Canis lupus familiaris: one gene and its partners. The protein of the gene in region 1 interacts with the protein of each later gene in a biochemical or structural test. Links are inferred from orthologs where the notes say so. Each region holds a gene or a part of one and is shown in the gene's direction. Other genes may lie near its edges.

What was found.
Region 2: the proteins of SOS1 (region 1) and NCK1 form a complex in vitro, tested with the Homo sapiens proteins (2 studies listed by BioGRID). The link is inferred for Canis lupus familiaris from reciprocal best matches to the Homo sapiens genes SOS1 and NCK1.
Region 3: the proteins of SOS1 (region 1) and ITSN1 form a complex in vitro, tested with the Homo sapiens proteins (2 studies listed by BioGRID, with this or other methods). The link is inferred for Canis lupus familiaris from reciprocal best matches to the Homo sapiens genes SOS1 and ITSN1.

Annotation. Positions count from the first base shown.
Region 1 is NC_049238.1:31,169,144-31,173,463, reverse strand, and holds the end of SOS1 (son of sevenless homolog 1), read left to right. Parts: intron 1-275; coding exon 276-394; intron 395-1,266; coding exon 1,267-1,758; 3' UTR 1,759-3,741; downstream 3,742-4,320.
Region 2 is NC_049244.1:33,889,331-33,892,984, forward strand, and holds part of NCK1 (cytoplasmic protein NCK1), read left to right. Parts: intron 1-2,046; exon of another isoform or gene 2,047-2,068; coding exon 2,069-2,781; exon of another isoform or gene 2,782-2,815; intron 2,816-2,906; exon of another isoform or gene 2,907-3,053; intron 3,054-3,654. UniProt on the Homo sapiens protein: Adapter protein which associates with tyrosine-phosphorylated growth factor receptors, such as KDR and PDGFRB, or their cellular substrates. Maintains low levels of EIF2S1 phosphorylation by promoting its dephosphorylation by PP1.
Region 3 is NC_049252.1:28,942,851-28,946,504, forward strand, and holds part of ITSN1 (intersectin-1), read left to right. Parts: coding exon 1-4; intron 5-3,246; coding exon 3,247-3,334; intron 3,335-3,466; coding exon 3,467-3,606; intron 3,607-3,654. UniProt on the Homo sapiens protein: Adapter protein that provides a link between the endocytic membrane traffic and the actin assembly machinery. Acts as a guanine nucleotide exchange factor (GEF) for CDC42, and thereby stimulates actin nucleation mediated by WASL and the ARP2/3 complex.

The DNA of each region.
Region 1 (4,320 bases):
GTGGGAATGTTATTTTGTTCAAGAAGCAAAATAACAGAATATCTTAGGCAGTTTTGTTTGTTTTTTCTGAAAATTCTGCTAGGAAATTTCTGCATGCTTTTAGAGCAATTTGCTTTAGTAAAGGAAATCCTATTATGTACTGGTTTATTGAACTGCTTTTGATAATTCTGTACATTTCTTTTAATAAATATAAGCAGTTTCCAGCTAAGCCTTTACAGGATTAAGAGATGAAATAGAATACCTGTCAACTTTTTAAAAAATGTAACACCCTACAGGATCTGCTTCAGTATCATCTATAAGTTTAACCAAGGGCACTGATGAAGTACCTGTCCCCCCTCCTGTTCCTCCACGAAGAAGGCCGGAATCTGCCCCCGCCGAATCTTCACCGTCTAAGGTAAGTAGAATCCTGTCATCTTGACACTGGAGTCATTATGGTTACAGTAGAATCATGTTCCCACCAGGTTAGGCTGAAACTTCAGGGTAGCTGAGCTTAATAGAGTGTAGACAAGAACTAAATACAATTTACCCTGCAGTTATGTTTATTTATTTTCTTCTGAACATAGTTTTTTGGTATGTTTTAAGAACCCTTATAAATCTAAATTATGGGTACTGTCAAGGAAAAAAACAAGCTTAATCTATAAAGAGTAATGTAGTCTCAAGCAGAGACTATGCAAGGAAAGAGAAAGAAGCAAAGAGGTGTGAAGCTTTGTATGAAAGCACATTTAAAGTGAATCTTAAACATTACCTATCTGAGCCCTTAACAGATCTGACATGCTTTTAAATGGGATTTGCCTGATGATTCTGGGTTGGAAGAGACCTTAACAGCTTATAATAGCCTTTTTTTCCCCAGTTGTTTAAGCTTCTTTCTTTGCCAACTCTTAACTTGATTCAGGGGTTCTCAAGTGTCCAGAGAACAGAGCACCTGAACAAGTCAAGACACTCTTTGCAGAACATCAAAAAATGTTAATGTAGTAAGTTTTAAATTATAAGATTAACTTATGTTAAATTGTAAATGATTTTATACTAGACTGATAGGTAAGCAGTAGCAAGCGACAAAATGTTGAGAAAAATAAAAACTTAGAAAAAAAAAATCTTAACAAATTGGTATTAAACCCTCATTTAAAACATATGGCAAAACCCCCTGAACCATACCCAGGGCTCTACCAGTTGTGTTTTTGAAAACCCCAACTTAATTCATAATATGTTTGTGGTACTACATCAATTATTAATAAATTTGTGTTTTATTCTTTTTCTCATTTGTGTCAGATTATGTCTAAGCATTTGGACAGCCCCCCAGCAATTCCTCCTAGGCAGCCCACATCAAAAGCCTATTCACCGCGATATTCAATATCAGACCGGACCTCTATATCAGACCCTCCTGAGAGCCCTCCCTTATTACCACCACGAGAACCTGTGAGGACACCTGATGTTTTCTCCAGCTCACCACTACATCTCCAGCCTCCCCCTCTGGGCAAAAAAAGTGATCATGGCAATGCCTTCTTCCCAAACAGCCCTTCCCCTTTTACACCACCTCCTCCTCAAACACCTTCTCCCCATGGCACGAGAAGGCATCTGCCATCACCACCATTGACACAAGAAGCGGACCTTCCTTCAGTCACTGGGCCGCCTGTTCCTCCACGACAAAGCACTTCCCAACATATCCCTAAACTCCCTCCGAAAACTTATAAAAGGGAGCACACACACCCATCTGTGCACAGAGATGGACCACCCCTGTTGGAGAATGCCCATTCTTCCTGAGTTTCTCTGTTCTGGGATGGACGTTTCCTAGCCCCAGCTCCATGGCTGGCAATAGAGGGCACTGAATGTGCCAGCACTGAGGAGTTAAAATGACAACTCCAAACACTAACGCCTCTCCTTCGGGATGCAGTATGAGACAATGAACTTGAACCTAGACATAATTAGAACATGAAAATGGTATTCGTTCAGAATATGGAAAGACTGATCTAGAGGAATTGGACAACTGATTTCACCTGAAAATCAAGTGAAGGGACTGTTTCTAGCCGATAGGCAGGGGTCCTCTTTTTGTGAAGTGATCTTTATCATTAAAGGGATGGAAAACACAGTCTAGTGTCCAGCAGGCCCACATGATGACAGTTTTTGTAATTCAAAATATGCACTTTTTAAAAAGAAATCTTAAACAGGGATCTTCATATCTCCTTTGTTTTCCTTTGCTTTTACTCATCCTACTTTAGAATATTTTCTTAAAAATCATTCAAAGGACTGTGAGGAGTGGCTGTGCTGCCTGACCTTGTTGGCGTCAAGGCCCAGCACTGTGCCACAGTCCTGTTTACAGATTATTACAGTGAAGTGAATGGGTACCAAGGCTTCACCAAAGAGGTACTTTGTCTTTCTTCCTTCCTTCCTTCCTTCCTTTTTTCTTTTCTTTTCTCTTTTCTTTTTCTTTCCTTCCTTTTTCTTTTTCTTCTTTCTTTTCTTTTTCTTTCTTTCTTTCTTTCTTTCTTTCTTTCTTTCTTTCTTTCTTTCTTTCTTTCTTTCTTTCTTTCTCTCTCTCTCTCTCTCTCTGTCTCTCTTTTTAGGAGTAATTATACTAATTTTAAGAGCATTCCCCCACCCTCCCTACACAAACAAAACATGGTGGTGTTGCCTTCAAACCAGATAAGTTTTGTGTCATTAACATGACAGAAGAACTTTTTTAAAAATGTAACTGTCATGTATACGATTTACATTTAGGAGACTGTTAATCTATGCTAGATTGTTATTTTCCCCCCTTCTCCCACAAAAGTTTACTGGTAATCCATGTCATGGCTCATAGCTGTCCCTCTAACCATACTCTGGAAATGTAGTCACCCAGTGTGAAAAGAACCACTTGCTGGGCATCACTGACACCATTCATGTTTTACTGATAGTTGAGTAATCAGCATATCTAGAATTACCTTGCATTGCTGAAATCATGTGTATATAGTGAATGTTATATAATAAACCTGGCAGGTCTGTTTTAATTTAATTGAATAAAGATACAAATACTTTGTTTGACTGGCATATATTAAATTATTATATGGAGAAAATGGTTGATTCTTATTTCTTTCAGTTGAAACACACACACACACACATCACATGCAAACACTAAGCATAAAAGCACGTATTGCGGTACGCCGTGGTTTCTAGTTCTGGATGTATGTATTTCATCTTAAAGAATGATCTAAAGTTACAGTTTGGCATGTAGGAAAAAATTTGGTTAGACTAGAATGGGTATTTTAAGCAGAACTTTGTTTTTTAATTTCCTAGGCAACATGTATACAGATTGTTATATTAAACATTCTACCTTGCTTGAGGTCTTTGCTCTATTCATAATAGAACATCTACCTACATCATTAGTATCATAATATGGATTATTCATTAAGCATATGTACTGATCTGAGTCTAACCAATACTGTGACTGAAATGCATGCAATTTGTCGAAGAGAAAACGTTTTATTAATCTCTACTACAATGTCTGTGAATTGTGCAGTGTTCCATCATTAGAGAGTCATCAGTGTCTGCATGTGTCTTCAGAATAATGAAGCAACATCTCAGCAATTCTGTTAACCATGCCATTAGAGACATTTTTAGAAGTGCTGCATCATGGTGGAAACCTAGTACTTTAATAATTTCCTGTGATCTTTATTAGAGCATTAAATGTACTTCACCAGTATTACAGTATATAGTCCTTTAAGACTAGAATGTTGATTGCATCATCATTAAACAATCCATCCTATCATATCCTTTCTTATTTGTTAGAGTTGAATCTTTTTTTGTTTAATATTTGTACCATTCCTATTATGGTAGCCATTTTTCTATCTGTAAAATGTCTCCTTTTAAAAGTCTCCTCCAAAATTAATTTCAAATCTACTCGTGTACACAAAGTGTTCATAAGACCATTCATTCAACAAGTGTTTATCTACGCCTACTTACTAGAGCTGCTACAATTAATCCTAGTGCACATTCCAGAATCCCTCATGACTTTTTATTAGAACAGCCTCATTTTCCCTACGATTTCCCTTTCTATGTCTTACTGATCACTTCTCTTGGATTATCCCACCTCATTTCAAATGCGAGCCTGAGAAGTCACATGGGAGCCCATTCACAATCTCCCTGGCCAGTGTGTCAGCCTTCAGCAAGGCTTTTCAACTCACTTGATCATGTATAGAGGAAAAGTTCAGATTTGGTTTCTAGTCATGATTCTCCCGAAGGGAACCATTCTTCTACCCCCAGTGGTTCTAGGAGACCACTTCACTGTGCATCAGCATTGTGGATAGAGGATATTTTTATTCTAAAGTTGACATTTGGGTAAAAATATTT
Region 2 (3,654 bases), on another chromosome or scaffold:
TGTCTTGTATTTGTTGTATTTGAAGTGCAAATATCTACAATCTGTAGGCGTCTAGTGACAGTTGGAATCATAGTTCTTGAATTCCAGACAGAGCTTAGACCTGCAGAGAGACCTTATTAGAACCTTCTATACAGAAGTTACAAAAAACAAAAGTATAAGATATCCTTGAAGTAGAGAGGAAGTTCAGGCATCATATTTTGGGAAACGCTTTTAACTGAGGAATCTCTTCACTTTTTCATTCAGCAAACATTTATTTTGTTCCTATTATGTGGGTGCTGAAAATACAAAGGTATTTTTTCCTGCCTTCAGGAAACTCGTATTAAAGAAGGAAGACAGAAAATACAGTACAATTTTATAACAAGGTTTAGGGGAGCCCAGACAGAGATAAATAAAAATATTTAAACAGGTCAGTAGGTAAGACAGGAGACTCTCAGGGAAGTTAAAGGAGAAAAACAATAGAATAATCTGTGATCTTAGTTGCTGCCTTGAGAGTTTGAAAAGAATGAGGGCTCTAAAAGTTATTGATTGGCAGTAAAGAGATGACACAATTTTTATAAGAATGGTTTTTATTGAGTAGTTTGGTAGAATGGTAGAGATTAAAGGATCAGATCATAAGAAGTTAGGAATGAGTGAGTGAATGGTGAAGAAGTTGAAGGGAAAAAGAGTCTTTTTACCATGTTTAAAGAATGGTATAGTTCAAAAGGAGTAGCAGGATTGAAGTAACTTTATTTTGGAATGGAAATGATCTGAGTATGTTTTTAGACAGTAGAAGGATCTGAGTAGGAGGGAAACAGGGATGGCCAAGAGTCCCAAAAGAGGCAGGAAAAATGGTATTTAAAATCCTGGGAGGATCAGAGATTGAAAATTTGCATGAAGAAAAAGATTGAGGGTAATAAGGAGTTTTGAGATAGTGAGAAGGTTTGAGGAGTTTTATCTAGGAGTGCCTCCATTTTCTCAGTAAAAGCAGAACACACACACAAAAAAAACCAACAAAACAAACAAACAAAAAAAAAAGCAGAACACAAAATCATGTGCTAAGAAATGATCAGCAGTGAAAACACATGATCAAAGTTGACATAGCATACATTTATGATGGTAGTACCATGTGGTTCTTTTCTCATTTCTTTCAACAAATATGTATTAAGCATCTACTATGTACTAAGCACTGTCTGAGATTTTTGGTTTTGTATCTGTGAACAAAGTAAACAAAAATCCCTGCTCTTCTGGAGCTCGCATGTGAAGAGGGTGAGGGGAGAAAAACAAGGAAATAATGTATTACTTTAAAATAAACAGGGCAAAAATAAATAAAATAAAATAAAATAAACAGGGCAGCCCGGGTGGCTCAGTGGTTTAGCACCACCTTCGGCCCAGGGCGTGATCCTGGAGGCCCCGGGATCAAGTCCCACGTCGGGCTCCGTGCATGGAACCTGCTTCTCCCTCTGCCTGTGTCTCTGACTCTCTCTCTCTCTCTGATGAATAAATAAATAGAATCTTTAAAATAAAATAAACATAATGAGGTAAATAGAGCAGCATGGATATGGGAACTACGAAAGCAAATGAAAGGATTACCCAGACAGACCTACAACTTATATTGCATATCAAGTTGTAATTTGTTGTTTTATTTTTATACAGCTAATTATAGAATTTAGATTGATAAAGTAAGACAAGCATAGGGGTTTGGTGAACCTATGTACTTAGGTTGTAGATATGAGAGAAATAATCTATATTTGGAAGAAATTTTGTTAAATTTAGGGAAATTGTCATTATGTTATACAATTATTTCAGCACCTTTGAAAGAAAAGATGAGAGGATAAACTGTCATATAATAACTGATTTATATGTTTGGTTGTGAAAAAAATTTGTGAAGGAAGTCAAAAGGTACAAACTTCCAGTTATAAAATAAACAAGTCATGAAGATGTAAAGAAAGGAAAAAAAGAAGAAATTTGTTATCTAAATTTAAAGGCTTAAAAAAACTACAGAGGTAAAGATCCTTTTTTAATAATGAAAAATTGTATTTTTTGGTTATCATTATCTTATATTCTTTTATTACTCTTTTTATGTGAACAGGCATTGGAAAAGTGAAAAGAAAACACAGTGTGCCAGATTCTGCATCACCTGCTGATGATAGCTTTGTTGACCCAGGGGAACGTCTGTATGATCTCAACATGCCTGCTTATGTAAAATTTAACTACATGGCAGAGAGAGAGGATGAATTGTCATTGATAAAAGGGACAAAGGTGATCGTCATGGAGAAATGCAGTGATGGGTGGTGGCGAGGTAGCTACAATGGACAAGTTGGATGGTTCCCTTCAAACTATGTAACTGAGGAAGGTGACAGTCCTTTGGGTGACCATGTGGGTTCTCTGTCAGAAAAATTAGCAGCAGTTGTCAATAACCTAAATACTGGCCAAGTGTTGCATGTGGTACAGGCTCTTTACCCATTCAGTTCGTCCAATGATGAAGAACTTAATTTTGAGAAAGGAGATGTAATGGATGTTATTGAAAAGCCTGAAAATGACCCTGAATGGTGGAAATGCAGGAAGATCAATGGAATGGTTGGTCTGGTGCCAAAAAACTATGTTACCATTATGCAGAACAATCCATTAACCTCAGGTTTGGAACCATCACCTCCTCAGTGTGATTACATTAGGCCTTCACTCACTGGAAAGTTTGCTGGCAATCCATGGTATTATGGGAAAGTCACCAGGCATCAAGCAGAAATGGCATTAAATGAAAGAGGGCATGAAGGTGATTTCCTCATTCGTGATAGTGAATCTTCGGTAAGTTGATTTTCAAATAAATAGAAATAGAGCTCTGAGTATTAAAAAAAAAATAAATAGAAGATTGGAAAGAGTAAGTTGCTGCTTTAAAATTAATCAGGTGATAAGTTGGGATGTATACTTACATTTTCTGAAGCTAAAGTCAATGTTCTTTCCAACCATATTTATTTTGAATAAAATACAGCCCTAGCAGTGATTAAACTATGCTGGATTATTTGGCCTTTTGAATTCTTTTGGTCTTGCATTTCTGAAATATCTTCTGTTGCATTACACTGAAAAATGGAGAAAACTGAACTGTGACTTCTCTGTTCAGAGTTAAAACAATGCAATGGACTAAACTGGGGGAAATTTTTTTTTTTTTTCTTGAGAGGAAGAGAGTATGTGCACCCACATGTGTGTGGGGAGGGGCAGAGGAGAAAAGAGAATCTCAAGCAGGTTCCACACTCAATGCAGCGCCTGACTCGGGGCTCAATCTCACGACCATGATATCATGACCTGAGCTGAAATCGAGAGTCAGAAGATTGACTGACTGAGCCACCTAGGTGCACCTGAGAAAACATTTTTTAAATTGCATATTGGATGTGCTGTCATCCTTATAAAAGGAAATCCCTAAATTAAAGAAATTGAGATTTAAGTTTGTTCATAGATTGGTTGTTTGGAAGTTGGAATACACTTTTATTATTTACCTCAGAAACCTATTTTAATACTCACTGTTTTTGAAATGTATTTGCAATAAAAGATATTTTTTCTAATATTAGTAAAACTATGAAACCATAAAAATGGAATAATAGTTATGTAGGCTCTTTTGATTACTGTTTAGAATATTAGAATTTGGTCCTATTCATTTAACTGGTCTTTATTTTTCCTTTTAAA
Region 3 (3,654 bases), on another chromosome or scaffold:
ACAGGTGAGAAAATACATTCCTTAACTGCTCTTAGGCTTACCTGCTTTTCCTCCAATTCATTCCATTCGTTTATCCCTACAAGTGTCCAGCATTTACATATACATGGAAACTAATAAAATTCTGGCTAGATTGATGGAGAAGAGGAGGAGGGAAAAGGAGAAAGAGCGGGGAAAAGTTGAAGAGGGAGAGAAGATGCAAATTCCCATTATAAGAAATGTAAGAACTGACATCGCTACAGATACTGTAGACTTGCAAAAAATTAAGGGAGTATTGTAAACAACTTGATACAAATAAATCTGACAACTTAGATGAAATGAAAAAATTCACTGAAAGATACAAATCATCAGGCTCAAGAAGAAACAGAAAATCTGAATAATACTTGTATATCTATTAAATACATTTTGCAGTTAAAAGTCGTACCACAAAAAAGCCTCCAGGCCCAGATGGCTTCACTGATGAATGAAAACTTTAAGGAAATAGTGCCATTTCAACACAAACATTTTTAGAAAATAGAGGAGGAAGGAATACTAATTTCTTATTTATTACCCCGATACCAAAACTAGGTAAGAACATTACAAGAAAACTATAAACCAGTATCTTTCAAGAATTTAAATTAAAAGATAATAATAGCATATTGAATCAAGTAAAATATTTTTGTAAATGGTAAAACACCATGACCAAGTATGGCTTATTTTAGGAATAAAAGGTTGGCTTAACATTCAAATTTCAACCAACATAAATCACCATACAAACAAGACAGAGAAAAAACTAACACATCTTGGTACATGCAGGGCAAAAAAAAATTATGACCCACTTCACCTATTCATGATGTAAAAAATAGTTTTTCATTTCTGATGTAACATTTTAAGATATATATCTACTTTTTTTTTTTAAGAGTTTATTTATTTATCCATGAGAAACAGAGAGAGGCAGGGTCACAGGCAGAGGGAGAAGCAGGCTCCATGCAAGGAGCCCAATGTGGGACTTGATCCCAGACCCCAGAATCACACTCTGAGCCAAAGGCAGATGCTCAAACACTGGGCCACCCAGGCGTCCCAAGATACAAAATTCCTTCTAAGCATTGTCATATAGCCATATTACAGAAATTTTTAATGTCTTTTCATATCCATTCAGTTCAAAATCTTTTTTTTATTTTCATGGTCATTTCTTCTTTGATGGGTTATTTAGAATTATGCTATTAGTTTCCAAATATTTTGATTGTTTTCCAGATATCTTACTGATTTCTGATGTATGTTATGAGCTGTGAGCATACTCTGTATGATTTTTAAGTTTACTGAGACTTGTTTTATGGCTTAGCATATGATCTGTGTTGGTGAATATTTTATGTGCATTTGTAAAGAATATATACTCTGTTGTAGTTGGGTGGAATGTTCCATAAACGTCAATTACAGCAAATTGATTGATCGTGTTTTTTGTGTTTTCTACATCTTTACTGATTTTGTGACCTCTTCCAGCTGCAGCGAGAGGAGTGTTGATAGCTCTATCATTGTAAATTTTTCCTTTTTCCTTCCAGTTCTCTCAGTTATTGTTTCATGTACTTTGAAGACCTAATCAATTTGAGATACTAGGATATGATATATAATGTAAATAGTATCAGATGTTCACTGCTAGAAATTGTTTAAACATATTAAAAAGTACATGTACCTTTTAAAAGTCTATTTTTCTATATGATAACTTTTTTTTTATATGTCTCTCATTAACTATGAGAAGTTTCATAAAATACTCTCTTGGAAAATGTAGGAATGAGGCTACATGTTTATTTATTATCTCACTGAATGCTCTGTGACCAAACACATTTTTATTATTTAAGATTGACACTTAGTGTGTTCATTTATTGGTAATAAAATACAAATCAGGGTCCCTGAAAAAATAGTAAAGTGAAAAATAATAAATGATTTCAGGAGGGCCTGGTATATCATAGGCTATGAGATATTGATTCCCCTTCTTTACTGTTATTAGCAAATATTTGCTATGCAGATGAGTCAGGTGGCCCTTCATATTTGCTTATGACTTTTTTAGGAATTTAGGTTGGCATTTAAAAGTGATGTTTATATAAATAAAACAGTCTCAGTATATGGACTAGGCTTTTTCTGGATGTGTCATTGTCTTGGTTCAAGAAAGAAACTTTGGAATTGGGTAAGGGGCCTTTCCTTAATTTAGGGAGGAGAATAGGAGAAGCTCAGTTGTCTGGGCCTTCTTGGGAAAACCATCTGAACTGTATATTCTGTTTTGTCAACTAAGGCATTTTTATTTTCTCAAACCAAAAATCAATGCATAGAGTTTTTTTCAAGTTTTTATTGAAATTCCACTTTGTTAACATACAATGCTTATTAGTTTCAGATGTAAGATTTAGTGATTCATCACTTACATATAACATACCCAATGCTCATCACAAGTGACCTCCTTAATGAGATTTTTTTTTAAACCAAGTTAAAAATGAAAGTCATATATTTGTTACTTTGTGCTGGAAAGGTTGTCATTTTACTGAAACGTATAGAAATAGAAACTATATAGGATAATATCAGGTAAACTTGTAAGCAAATAGTGCTTTGAGAGGTCATCCATGAAAACTCCAAATAGCCTTTTACAGTGTGCAGGTTAGTTTTCTTCTTATATCAGTTAAGAAATAGTTGGTTCAGGACTTTTGTATACCTGTTTAAAATTGTACATCCATCCTTGGTGGTAGAAAAACATATATGGCAGCCAAGATCCTATTGTTAGAAATCTCTTCTTGATTTCTATCTTTAGGCATATGGTAAACCTAATTCAGTGTTGAGAATTGTAATTCAGGTTACAAAGTTCAGAGTAGTTCCTATTCAAACTATGGAGTCATTTTCCACTAACAGAGTCACTGCATTTACATTTGATCCCAGTGCAAAGGAGAGATCATTGCTTTTCATTTTCTCTGCTGAATTGTACTTAAAGTACATTTCTAAAGCTTTATAAATAGGCAGTAAGTCAACAAAAATTTACAAAACCTCAAGAGAGCTATAACTGTCTTAACTTTATTTCAGTGAAAAGCATTTGGCAAATAGTTAATTGCTTGGCAAGAAAGCAAGAGCTGCCCTGACTGGTGATTAAATGCAGTTTCTATATAGGATTTGGGGTGAGATCAGATGCGTCTTTGAGGGACGAGAATACTGACTTACGTTTGCCCGGATGTGGAACGTAGACATGCTCGTTTTCCCTGTCAGTTCATTGTTGTTTTCCTTCCTCTCTCCTAGGAAGCCCAGCAAATGCTTGGAAGACTTATTCCAGAAAAGCAGATACTCAATGACCAATTAAAACAAGTTCAACAGAACAGTTTGCACAGTACGTGTTTTCTTTTTAAAGTTGGTCTTTTCCTTTTCTACTGGCAAGAATTTCCTTCGGTGAAATGAGAAGATTACATTTTTCTTCACTGCCCGTTTGCCTCTCTTATCTTGCAATGTTTTTCTAAAATAGGAGATTCACTGCTTACACTCAAAAGAGCGTTAGAAGCAAAAGAACTAGCTCGGCAGCAGCTACGCGATCAACTGGATGAAGTTGAGAAAGAAACCAGATCAAAACTACAGGAGATTGATATTTTCAATAATCAGCTGAAGGTAACTGTTCTGTGTGTCCCTACATATATGTCCTACCCTTGTAACTTT